Linked DNA regions of Schizosaccharomyces pombe. The main gene of each other region encodes a partner of the protein of the gene in region 3 in a complex. Each region holds a gene or a part of one and is shown on either strand. Other genes may lie near its edges.

Region 1 (3,758 bases), 870 kb from region 3:
GATTAGTTAAGAAAACTGTGTAAACCAAAAGAGAATCATGCCTCTTTACCAATTGACTTGAATCTAACTTTTACTAATATTAATTTAGGCCAATTCGTCCTCACGCCTGAGCCATCTAGTAATACATTCTATGCCCCCTCTTCGCCTGCTTCTGCAGTGAGAAGAGAGCCACTTTCTCCAATGTCTTTTGTACGGATGCGTTCACATCGCGTTAATAAAATTGGCCGTTCTAGTCAACAATGTGACCATGTCCTATCCACGGTTGATAAAGCAATTTCTCGTGTACATGCTATTGTAACTTGTACACAAGACCGCATGATTATTGAGTGCGTGGGTTGGAATGGGATGATTGTGTCTGATAAAATGAGGAAGTCAGTATTCCACATGAAGAAAAATGATCGGATTGTCCTGGTAAGACCGAATTCGGATGCTTGTCCTGTACTGGATGTATTCGGTTACCGAGTTCTTCTTGGTTGGCCAAGTGATTCTGAAGATGAATGGGAAGGAAATCTTAATGCTAAAAATTATGAAGAAAATCGTGAACCTATGTCTCCTTCACCTCAAGAAGCTTTACCTTTGATGCCTTCATCACCTCCTTCTCAAGACTATCAAAACGATCAGAATCATCTCATATTGTACACTAATTCCGAATCCATTCCTAAGCTAAACTTGCGTAGTAACGAATTAGTATATCCTCCTCCATCCAAAGATTTGTTACAAAAGCTTCTTGCCTTAGAAAAAGATGGTCAGGTGGAAAAGTCTGATTGTTCCAAAAATACACAATTAAAACCATCTTTTCTCCCAAAGAACACCGACGATTTACTCAATGGCACTGATGATAATAACATCGTTTTAAGAGAAGTTAAGGTTTCTTTTGAGAACGAAAAAATCGAGAGTGATGATCTTGATAAAAATGAGGAAATTAGTGAAGGTGAAGAATACACTCCAATTGAAGAGTCAAAAGAGCCTATAACAGTAAGACGGGATAGCGTTATACAAATTGATGAATCGTCCGCTGGACTAACGGACGTTATCTCTGAACTTAATTTTACAAACCATAATGATGACTCAAAGAATTCTAATATTACAACTTCAAATGATTCCCCAGTGAACGAAGTTGAGCCAATGGCTCCTGAATTGAGTTCAGCAGTTGTGGAAAAGAAGGAACCTGAAGACTACGAAAGCATCTCTGCTGTTGATGAGAACACTAATGACAGTAATGAATCCCTCCCTTCTAGCCATGATTACTCAGAATCAACAAAAGAAAATTCAGCTCCCGATAGCTTATTATTAGGATTGGTTTTAGATGAATTGGTTTTCTCAACAACTTCAACTACTCCCCTTCCTGCACTTTCGCATTTATTTCCTTCCAATATGCCACTTCAATTAATTCAGGACAAGCTTCGAGACTTGGCAGCCAAGCACCCCTACTTTGAAGAGGTTAAACGTTACGGAACTGATGCTAATGGTGATCCATTGTGGAGTGAATGGTTTTATAACCCAGATGTGGATGATGATTTAGAACGGCGTATGAGATATGCTCCATTAATGAGACCAGTAAGATCCTCACGTCGTGTACATAAACAATATTATTGGAAAAAGCCCCGAGCTCGTCCACGTTCATCGGGACATTCTTCTAGGCGTCGTCGTCTTTCATAACGAATTGAATGCTGGCATCAGACACGACCCCTATAAAATTTCGCTTTTTGATATTGTATACATTTCGTTATTACGAATGGAATTATTAGATTTTTCAAATGGGGTTCAACAAAATACAATTGAACTCAATAGTGATTTACATTTAATATGAATTTTGGGTAAAAAAACGCATTCTTTTTTATAAAACTGTATTTACAATGTATAGAAATAAATTGCTACTTTAAGCTATTTACAATTTTGATATAGCATTCAAGTAACGTGTTACTTGCTACATGTGTTGTCATATCAAAGACAAGAAAATAAATTACCCTCATATTGGAACCAACTACGGCAAGAGAATGAGCAATACTCTTTATAATCACGTATGTAACTTCCTAAAGTTTTAGAAAACATATTAATTTGTATTTCGCTAGTGTACAAAGTTGTTTCAGTCCATTCAGCGAAGCCTCGATGAGTTAGAACGTGGTGTTCAAGATGAGAGCAACACTATATCGTTAGCTGGAATTCAGGGTATGTGTAGATGAATAATTATGGTACTTATTTTAACCAAGTTATTCATGAGACTAATGCAAATCAATTTAGGCCAGATCTCAGCTTCATTTCTGTCATTATCCAGATCCATTGATGACTACGATAGTATGGTCCAAAGGGAATTGGTTCCCGCTAAAAAAAAAAAAGCTACAATACGAATCCAAGAGTTCCGTCAAAAGCATGTTCAGTTGTTGGAAAAATTTGATGAGTTGAAGGCACACGTTCGTGACATTGCGCAAGCAAAAAATAGAAAAGAATTGTTAGGGAGGCGTGGGTATGTGAACTCTCTTGATAGTCCCTACGGAAATTCAACAACGGATGCAGAAATTGTGGAAGGGCCATCAGATCTAAGCAGACAAGATGGTTTATTAAAGGAGCATGATTTCCTTGGTCGTGCAGAATCTCAAGTTGACGAATTTCTAGAACGTGGGCGGATGATTCTTGGTGATTTAGTTGAGCAGGGAAGCGTTTTAAAAGCTACTAAGACAAAAGTACTGAATGCCGCCAATACCCTTGGCATTACTCGCCATACTCTATCTTTAATCAACCGTAGGTCCAAACAAGACAAGATTATATTTTATTGTGGAGCATTCCTTGTATTTGTCCTCTTTTACTTGATTTACAGGTGGTTACGCTAACATGTTCATGTCGTTGGCTTGTTTAAATTTACTATTCTTATATGATATGGGGCAGTACAACAAAATCAAAGATGATTAAAAAATTTGAAGAGCTTCTTGAGAGTTAAATTTTTTATTAATTATTTTTAAAAATAAGCTATACATTTTGCACTTGTTAGCTTCTCCTTGCAAGCTATTACTGTTGTGTTTTTTTCCTTCTGTTTATGACATTCCACTAATCACGCACTTATGGGCCTTTTAAATCTAATTCTTTCTTTGTGTTTTTTTAAATCCTTAGTTTGTCAATCAATTAATACCGTTGCGGTAATGCTTGACTAAAACACCTTCTCTTCAGGCGGTTGCTTTGAAATGCTTCAATTGTGATTCCATTTCATTTTATTTTAATATCCAAGAGAAAATTAACTTACCAATGGGCAATAGTTTTTTTTCCTTAGTTTCTTCGTAATTTGCTCAGTTAAGCTATGTATTAAAAATAATAAAATAGACTAAAACTAATTGTCATCACGAACCGTTAGTTGACGACTGTTTTACACTATTTTTATTGTCAACCGTTTTCAATGCAACTTAAGAATTTGTCGAAAGCCAATTGAAATTTGTATTCATATATATTAATTTTGTACCATATATATTGTAATAACTGTATTGGATGAAGTTAACTTTTACTAAAGAAACTCGAGACACGTTTGTTAAAATTAATATCGTTAGCGATTATCCTTTCGTATACCATAATACACCAAACTATCCTCCATTCTCATCTTTTTAAATATCTAGCGCCAATATTTAGTAATTCCTATAAGAATTATTTAATGTTTTTAAATAAGTATATATCAAACTATTCCAGAACCAGGGCTGTGAGCTGCGCTCCAGTTCTATCATACAAGAAATGTAGTTATCGAAATTTCAATGGTTTATTACAGGCAAGATTTCAAA
Region 2 (3,758 bases), on a different chromosome or scaffold from region 3:
TTTTTTATCGTTTCTGTTATTTGGCAGGGTAAGAATATATTCTTCCAATACATCCCTTTTGACTAAGCATTTAGTTAATTTGCTAATGTCCAATGCATCAATCTAAATTATATAGCTGAATGTTTAACAAACAAATTTGACTTTGAATTAATCGAGACTGATTGTGAACTTCTATAAACATTCGATCATACTAGATTTTTCAAGCTACAATTTTACCATAATCTATTTCATAGTAAATGGCCAGAAAATTTTTGGAAAACTAACGTACCCAAGATGAATTATAAGGAATTTTTATTTGGGCGTGCAAGGAATGGTCGAAAGAATAAGCATAAACATTATATTTACATGAGATTATAGACATGAACTTCACATGATCAAAGAAGAACGAGTTTCATTCCTTTGTCATTATTGTTACAATATAAAGTTTCAGAAGAATGAAGAGAATTAAACAATACGATCCAAGGATAGCAATAAAAGTCCCATAACGGTAAAGATGCAAAAAAGCAGACGAGCGGTCCGACTACTTCTAGATTTGGCCTTGATTAGTTGTTGATTACCCCCAGACAGCGAATCCATGACATTAAGGGCATCATCATAAAGTTTTTCAGCCGCACTTGATTGAATAGATAGTTGAGCGGATATTTCCGACTGAAGTCTAGTAATATCAGCCAAAGATTTCCCTGTATCACGTAAACGTTCCATAGTATGTTCAAATTCTTGGAGTAAAACATCGTTCTCTTGCTCAAGTTCTTGAAGTTGCTGTTGAGTAAAAAATGTTTGTAATTCAGATTCAGGGATCTCAACAGCTGAATTTTCATCAGTAGGATTTTTTGTTAAAAAGTCTGAAGCAATGTTTCGCTTTTCCTGACCTCGTTTTAATCTCAGATCTTGTAAATGATATAGAACAGAAGAAACATCGGAAAGTTCAGACTGCAGATACCACAGAACAGATGAATGGTGGGCGACTAAAGTTTCCTTTTTCGATAATTTACTAGGGTCTCTTAAACCTTGCAGCCAACCACTTTTTTTAGGGATTTGACTTTGTTGTTCTACTCATGCAATTAGCAAGCATGTCCCTGTGTTTTGTTTATAATTTAAGTAAACATAATTTTACCAGTATTAAAATTTTAAGCTTACCTTTCACAATCTCCTGCAACTTAGCTATTTGATGAATACAGCTACTGATTGCCGAAGAGACTTCATGTTCTATTTCATCCCTTTGAACCTCATCTAGCTCAAGCTTTGAAAGCTCCTCAAGTGAACACTCCATTAAAGGTTTTGAGAGTCTTTGGACATTTGAAAATGTTCTGTCCTTTAAATAAGCTCCACGAATCTTTTTCAAAAATACTAGAAGATTAACAATCGTTTCATGCTGCTAACGTTAGCAATTTGAACTCTCTGATTAGATATAGAAAGCAATAACAAAAGTTAATACTGTCAAAAATTTAAACCAATCCCACTCAATAATTAATCGTATATTATGGTAGCGCATCTCCACAGTGATCAATTGAGTTGAGGTTAAATTTCCGATTGGTTCAATAATTACAGAAAACTCGTCCTCAAACTTACAATTCTATATCCTTCAGCCAAAAAAGGATCCGTATAACTTATTCTTTTCAAAGGAATGTTTGCTGCATCAATGTCGCCATTTTTTGTTAATCCAAAAAACTCATTCGTACGACTCGTCATTCAGAATTTGAGATGCTAAGAAAGGAGAAATATAAATCCCGGGTTAAATGAATTTCAAATTAACAGAACAGATGTTTAGAAAATGGTAGCATTCCATATCCCCTTATGAATAGTGACACGGTAAACGGAATTGAGAGACTTAAAGGTGCTCGTAACAAATGTTCAAAAAAGCAAAAAAAAATACTCCATTGTACGAGTTTTGTTTATTTACTTCAAGTCGATGTCTACAATAAATGAAATTAAGCTAAAGTTTCGCAATTTTTGAAGTATTTAGAAATGAGCTATTTTCAAGTAAACAAACAAACGTAACCAGTTATACACCTCACAAGAATGGAGCGCAGTCAAATTGTTTACAATTTTTGAGTTATTTTTAAAAATTTAGCTTGAAAAAAGTTGTTTGTGTCCTTTATCTCGAAGAAATAAGGTTTTTGTTTTGCTGGTGTTGAGGTTGCTATATAATAACATGGTTTGGGCGACATAAATTCATCCTTTACCAACGCTCTTCGAAACGTTAAATTTGCATATTTATCAAGCATTTTATTGCAATAAGGCTAATATTATTAACTTTAATTGATTTTAACCTTCAGTATTTGCTTATTGTTATACAATATACAGTGATTACCCCTTTTTCTAAAAAGCTGTACTTTCGCATCACATCTGATACCTGCGTTCCTTTCAACTTTTTAATATAATCATCCAAACGATTTTAAAATCTGGTTGACATTACCGCGGAGCTTTAAGCTCTGCATTACGATATATTTTCTCTTTCACCAAAGATTGCTTTCTTCCTTACCATTTATTCCTTAATCAGCTTCGTTAGTATCTTTTTTACAACCAAATTACCAGTTTGGTATGTTAATTCATAATGGCATCTAAAATGCCTGAAGGGTCTCCCCCTACTAGTCGTTCTATTCAATCTCGAAATTCCAGTTACTCTACCTCTTCCAACGAACGTATTGGAACACCCTCTACGATTTCCCTATCTGAAAATTCAGATCTTTCTAAATTACAAAGTACTAATGATTTTGAGTCGCGAGAAGATCTCTCTCTTACTTCCGATGACAATAATGACCCCGAATATGTTATGTGCTACAACACTGTTTATCACCAAAAGACAAAAATAAATGATAAACTTTTATCCGAAACTGAGCAGTTACGTAAAATTTATCCTTTAGAATCCCGTGTATTTCCAAAACCTACCATTGTTAAAGAGATTACCAACGAGCGAACCAAGCGCTACACTTTTTATGACGATGATGCTCCTCTTACTAACCAACATACTGTTTTAGATGAAGCAACTTATAATCGAATTTTAAAAAGGATAGACTTTTTCATTGAAAAAGTCGTTGAAGTCCCACCTACTTACCATTTTTTATCGCTATTAAACGTTCAATTACGTATTCAACCAATTTGGTGGATGGATGAATTTGCTGAAAGAAATGGTATTGAAAGTTTACTGTCTGCTTTAAGAAACCTGGGTCACTATCCTGAACGTGCATCTAAAACACCTCTTGAATCCCAAATAATACAGTCATTATTTCACTGTTTGAACAGCGAAAACTGCCGTCGTCGTTATCAGTCTTCAGCTAAATGCTCTGTTCCAGGATTTAATGCTCTAGGTACTATTGCTGAGACTGTGCTTTCAAAAAGTTTAAATTCAGCTCGCATGGCTACTTTTCTCCTTAAATTCCTTTGTAATAAAAAGGGGTTGAGTTACTTCAAAGCTGTAATCAGGGCTTTCGAATGGCTCGTCGAGCAAAAGTTATCAAAAACTCGGTTTAGCGCATGGATGCATTCCTTTAATGATGTGATTACTGGTGTCCGAGTTTGTGCTGATTCATCTCCTCAAGCGATTGTTCACATGGACGAATTTGAAGATACGGACTGCTTGATTGATTACCTTGTTGCAACTTTAGCTCTCATTCGAGATTTATGTGCTGCTCCACCGGATTTGCAACTTAGGTGTGCTCTAAGGCATGAATTGTTATCTGCTGGTCTTCAAAAGGCCATCGACTCTTTGTTAAAATGGAGAAACAGACACGTCCGTGATGCTCTGCAATTACTAATCA
Region 3 (3,366 bases):
CGGATACGTGATACCAAGATTGGCACTCCTTTGGAAGTCCTTTGCAAAGGTCTTCCCGAAGAGTTTATCACTTACATGTGTTACACTCGTCAGCTTTCGTTTACCGAGAAGCCAAACTATGCTTATTTGAGAAAGCTGTTTCGTGATTTACTTATTCGTAAAGGATACCAGTATGACTATGTTTTTGACTGGATGATATTAAAATACGTAAGTTTTGAAAAGAAAATGATAAGGTGATACGTTAGTTTAACCTTAACAAATGATTGAAAATTCGATTGACTAACTATTATTAGCAAAAGCGAGCTGCTGCTGCTGCCGCCGCTTCTGCTACAGCACCTCCACAGGTTACATCTCCTATGGTGTCACAAACTCAACCGGTTAATCCCATTACTCCTAATTATTCATCCATTCCCTTACCTGCTGAGCGGAATCCAAAGACTCCACAATCTTTCTCCACTAATATTGTTCAATGTGCTTCTCCCTCACCTCTTCCTCTCTCCTTTCGTTCTCCTGTTCCCAACAAAGATTATGAATACATTCCATCTTCGTTGCAACCTCAATACAGTGCTCAACTGAGGCGTGTTTTAGATGAAGAACCAGCTCCTTGATTTTTTGACTTTACTTTTCATCAATTCCTCTCTTACACTACGTCTTTTAGTCTTAAATTCCAAACCATCTGTTGACGTTTTAAAGTTCCACAAATATCTTTAATAATTCCTGGCTTTCTTTTTTGTCTATGGATGGCCGGATTGCTACACTAATACACTTTGAGGTTTAGCTATTGTTTTGAGCTATTCCATTTTGCCTAGAAGTTGAGTTTTAATGCCTTCTTTTTAAATAGACATATTGTGTAAACCTCATACATGCTTTACTGAAAAGACATAATTAGAGGACAAAATTTAAATCGTGCTGTTTGTTTATATTCAGCTCGTTCCGGTCAAGTTCTTGCCAAAGAATTGAGTCAGTCGTGCTATTCATTTCTAAATTTCTTCTTCCCAGAATTTTATTTTATTGTTTTCGTTCCCCATTGGTTCTTACATTCCGTTTTTATTCAAAACTGAAAAGTTTGTACCTCCATTGCTAGAAGTAATATACACAAGGAGCATGTTTCTTTTTTTACACTATCATTTGCGTGGCTCTAAACCAGTCTTTATTGCCTACCTTTGCAATAAAAGATATAATATCAATTGCATAAGAAATAATTCATTAATAAATGATAAATTTCATCGATTAAATAGATCGCTATTTTTCACACTGTATTATGGGCAAGTAGCGTAAAAAATATTAGCTCTGTTGGAGTTGACCGCTGGATCATCAAGTTTTACATACTATTTAATTTCGGCTGTAGCAAAGAAAAATATCCATCGATTTGCCATATTATCATATCTATTGCTTTCTGTGGTATTTTAACCACCGGTATTTCACTTCTACAAATGTAAACAAAGCACGTTGATTTGTTTACATTACAGTTGCCCCAGTAACACATTATGGATCAGCACCACAAAGAAAAATCATTCAAAATTGATGCTCAAATTCAATATTCTACAGGCTCAAGAAGGGATCTATACTTATTTTTACTAAACCCATAACTATCATCTCTGTTTCGTCTGCGGTAAAAAAAAAATTGTTTAGATTAATGTAAAAACAGAGCAAAATGAGATTTGTCACTTAGTACAACAATGTGTTACCTCTACACGCAACTCCTGAGTTGCGTCGCATGTTATTTGATGAGCTGACTTTGCGCACAAAACCAATACATAACAAAGAGATCTTAGGATTTGGAAGTTGCGCTACACCAAATACTTTTCATATTCGGTAAAGGGAAAGATTTTAAAAAAAGCTTCAGAATGGGATCAAGGTATGTACTAAATCTGATCAATCAATGTCTAACTAATCATTAGATTCGGTAGAAGAAAAGAACGCAATGGCGATATGTTGCCCTTGTATGAGTCTCAATCTCCTCAGCATTTAGACTCCTTGGAAAATGAAAATGATGAACGGATTTCAAAGTTAACTGGAAAAGTCAAGTCTTTGAAAGAGGTAAGATTTTTGCCATCATCAGGAAAAACATGCTAACTAATTTTAATAGCTTACTATGAATATTGGGACTGAGATAACGTCTTCTACTAAGTTGATGGAGTCAATGAACGACTCATTTGACTCGACCAAGTCACTTTTGAGCGGGACAATGACTCGATTAAAGAATGTTTCGAAGAATGGAGGAATTTCAATTTGGATGTGGCTCGCCTTCTTTTGCCTCGTTGCGCTTATCCTCGTTTTGGTAAGATTTTAGGCATTTTGCTTACTACCTTTACTCTTTTTTAGAGTTAGCATTTTTATGATTCATTTTATGGCGTGTATAATCTGTTAAAATTGTATACTTGAAGTTTCTTCATTCTCTTTTCTTCTAACATTTTCATTCTGATTATTTTAAACTTATTATCGATAGAAAAAAAACATTCATCCACCTTTGGTGTTTCCACACAAGTGGTTTGTCACGATAGGAACGCAAATCCTCAATTTTTGTTTTCCTAACGACTTTGTTTTTAACTTATTACATCCTGTTATTATAAGTTTCTATCTGTTATTCATGATACTAGCCCTTCACTCGTCGTCTTACCATTTTTGTAAATTGACGCAACTATTACATTTGAGTTTTATTCAAGTTTATCGGCATGCAGGTCATGTCTTTTGCATTTTCTATTCCCAAGCTTGAAGTATGGAATGTTTAAGTATGTGATACGAATCTTACTACTTAAATTTATTTGCTTATTACATTATTTCTGCGTCTAGTGTTCTTTTACTTCAATACTTGAAATAAAATTTTTTTTTTTTCTTTAAGAGTACAATCATGCTTCTATTCCTTTTCCTTTGTATTTTAAATGCATGTTATTTCGAGTTTCGACATATTGGGTAGGTTGCTGTTTAATAGTGTATTATGGGCACAATAATATTTACGTAAACCATCAGCGCTGTACACCTACCTATAGAAAGTTGTTTTAAGAAGATATTCGCTTTTTATATGTCTAACAGTATTTAATAACTAGTTTTCTTAAGCGGAAGTTTCGAAATTCGATCAGTAACCGTGAGTTTGTGTACAAAATGCTAGTATTGAAGATAGTTTTATTTTTATCTTTGGTGATATGGTTTAATTTAAAAAAGAGGACGGATAAGAAAAGAATTATTGTTCTCGTCCTAGGAGATATTGCAAGAAGCCCTAGAATGCAATATCATGCCGTTAGCTTCGCTAAACTTGGATGGAAGGTTGATTTGTTAGGCTATCAGCGTAAGTTATCTAAAATATTTGAATATTTTAATCTATACCACATTAGGTGTATTTGTTGTCACTAACACTGTCGTAGACCC

What was found.
Region 1: bet1 (region 3) and bos1 share a complex: the UniProt entries of both Schizosaccharomyces pombe proteins name them as parts of the SNARE complex.
Region 2: bet1 (region 3) and ufe1 share a complex: the UniProt entries of both Schizosaccharomyces pombe proteins name them as parts of the SNARE complex.

Annotation. Positions count from the first base shown.
Region 1 is NC_003424.3:1,923,105-1,926,862, forward strand, and holds bos1 (SNARE protein Bos1), read left to right. Parts: upstream 1-1,976; 5' UTR 1,977-1,997; coding exon 1,998-2,021; intron 2,022-2,062; exon of another isoform or gene 2,063-2,072; coding exon 2,073-2,169; exon of another isoform or gene 2,170-2,241; coding exon 2,242-2,828; 3' UTR 2,829-3,435; downstream 3,436-3,758. Other genes in the region: tos4 (transcription factor), read left to right, coding at 89-1,659; metallopeptidase Oma1, read left to right, coding at 3,635-3,758. UniProt on the Schizosaccharomyces pombe protein: SNARE required for targeting and fusion of ER-derived transport vesicles with the Golgi complex.
Region 2 is NC_003421.2:1,000,576-1,004,333, forward strand, and holds ufe1 (SNARE protein Ufe1), read right to left. Parts: upstream 1,759-3,758; 5' UTR 1,690-1,758; coding exon 1,570-1,689; exon of another isoform or gene 1,542-1,569; intron 1,407-1,541; exon of another isoform or gene 1,373-1,406; coding exon 1,138-1,372; intron 1,050-1,137; coding exon 445-1,049; 3' UTR 137-444; downstream 1-136. Other genes in the region: formin For3, read left to right, coding at 2,555-3,758. UniProt on the Schizosaccharomyces pombe protein: Syntaxin required for targeting and fusion of Golgi-derived retrograde transport vesicles with the ER.
Region 3 is NC_003424.3:1,049,882-1,053,247, forward strand, and holds bet1 (SNARE protein Bet1), read left to right. Parts: upstream 1-1,787; 5' UTR 1,788-1,847; coding exon 1,848-1,858; exon of another isoform or gene 1,859-1,901; coding exon 1,902-2,040; exon of another isoform or gene 2,041-2,089; coding exon 2,090-2,293; 3' UTR 2,294-2,843; downstream 2,844-3,366. Other genes in the region: serine/threonine protein kinase (CK1 family) Hhp2, read left to right, coding at 1-207, 294-608; mannosyltransferase complex subunit Alg1, read left to right, coding at 3,103-3,286, 3,363-3,366. UniProt on the Schizosaccharomyces pombe protein: SNARE required for targeting and fusion of ER-derived transport vesicles with the Golgi complex.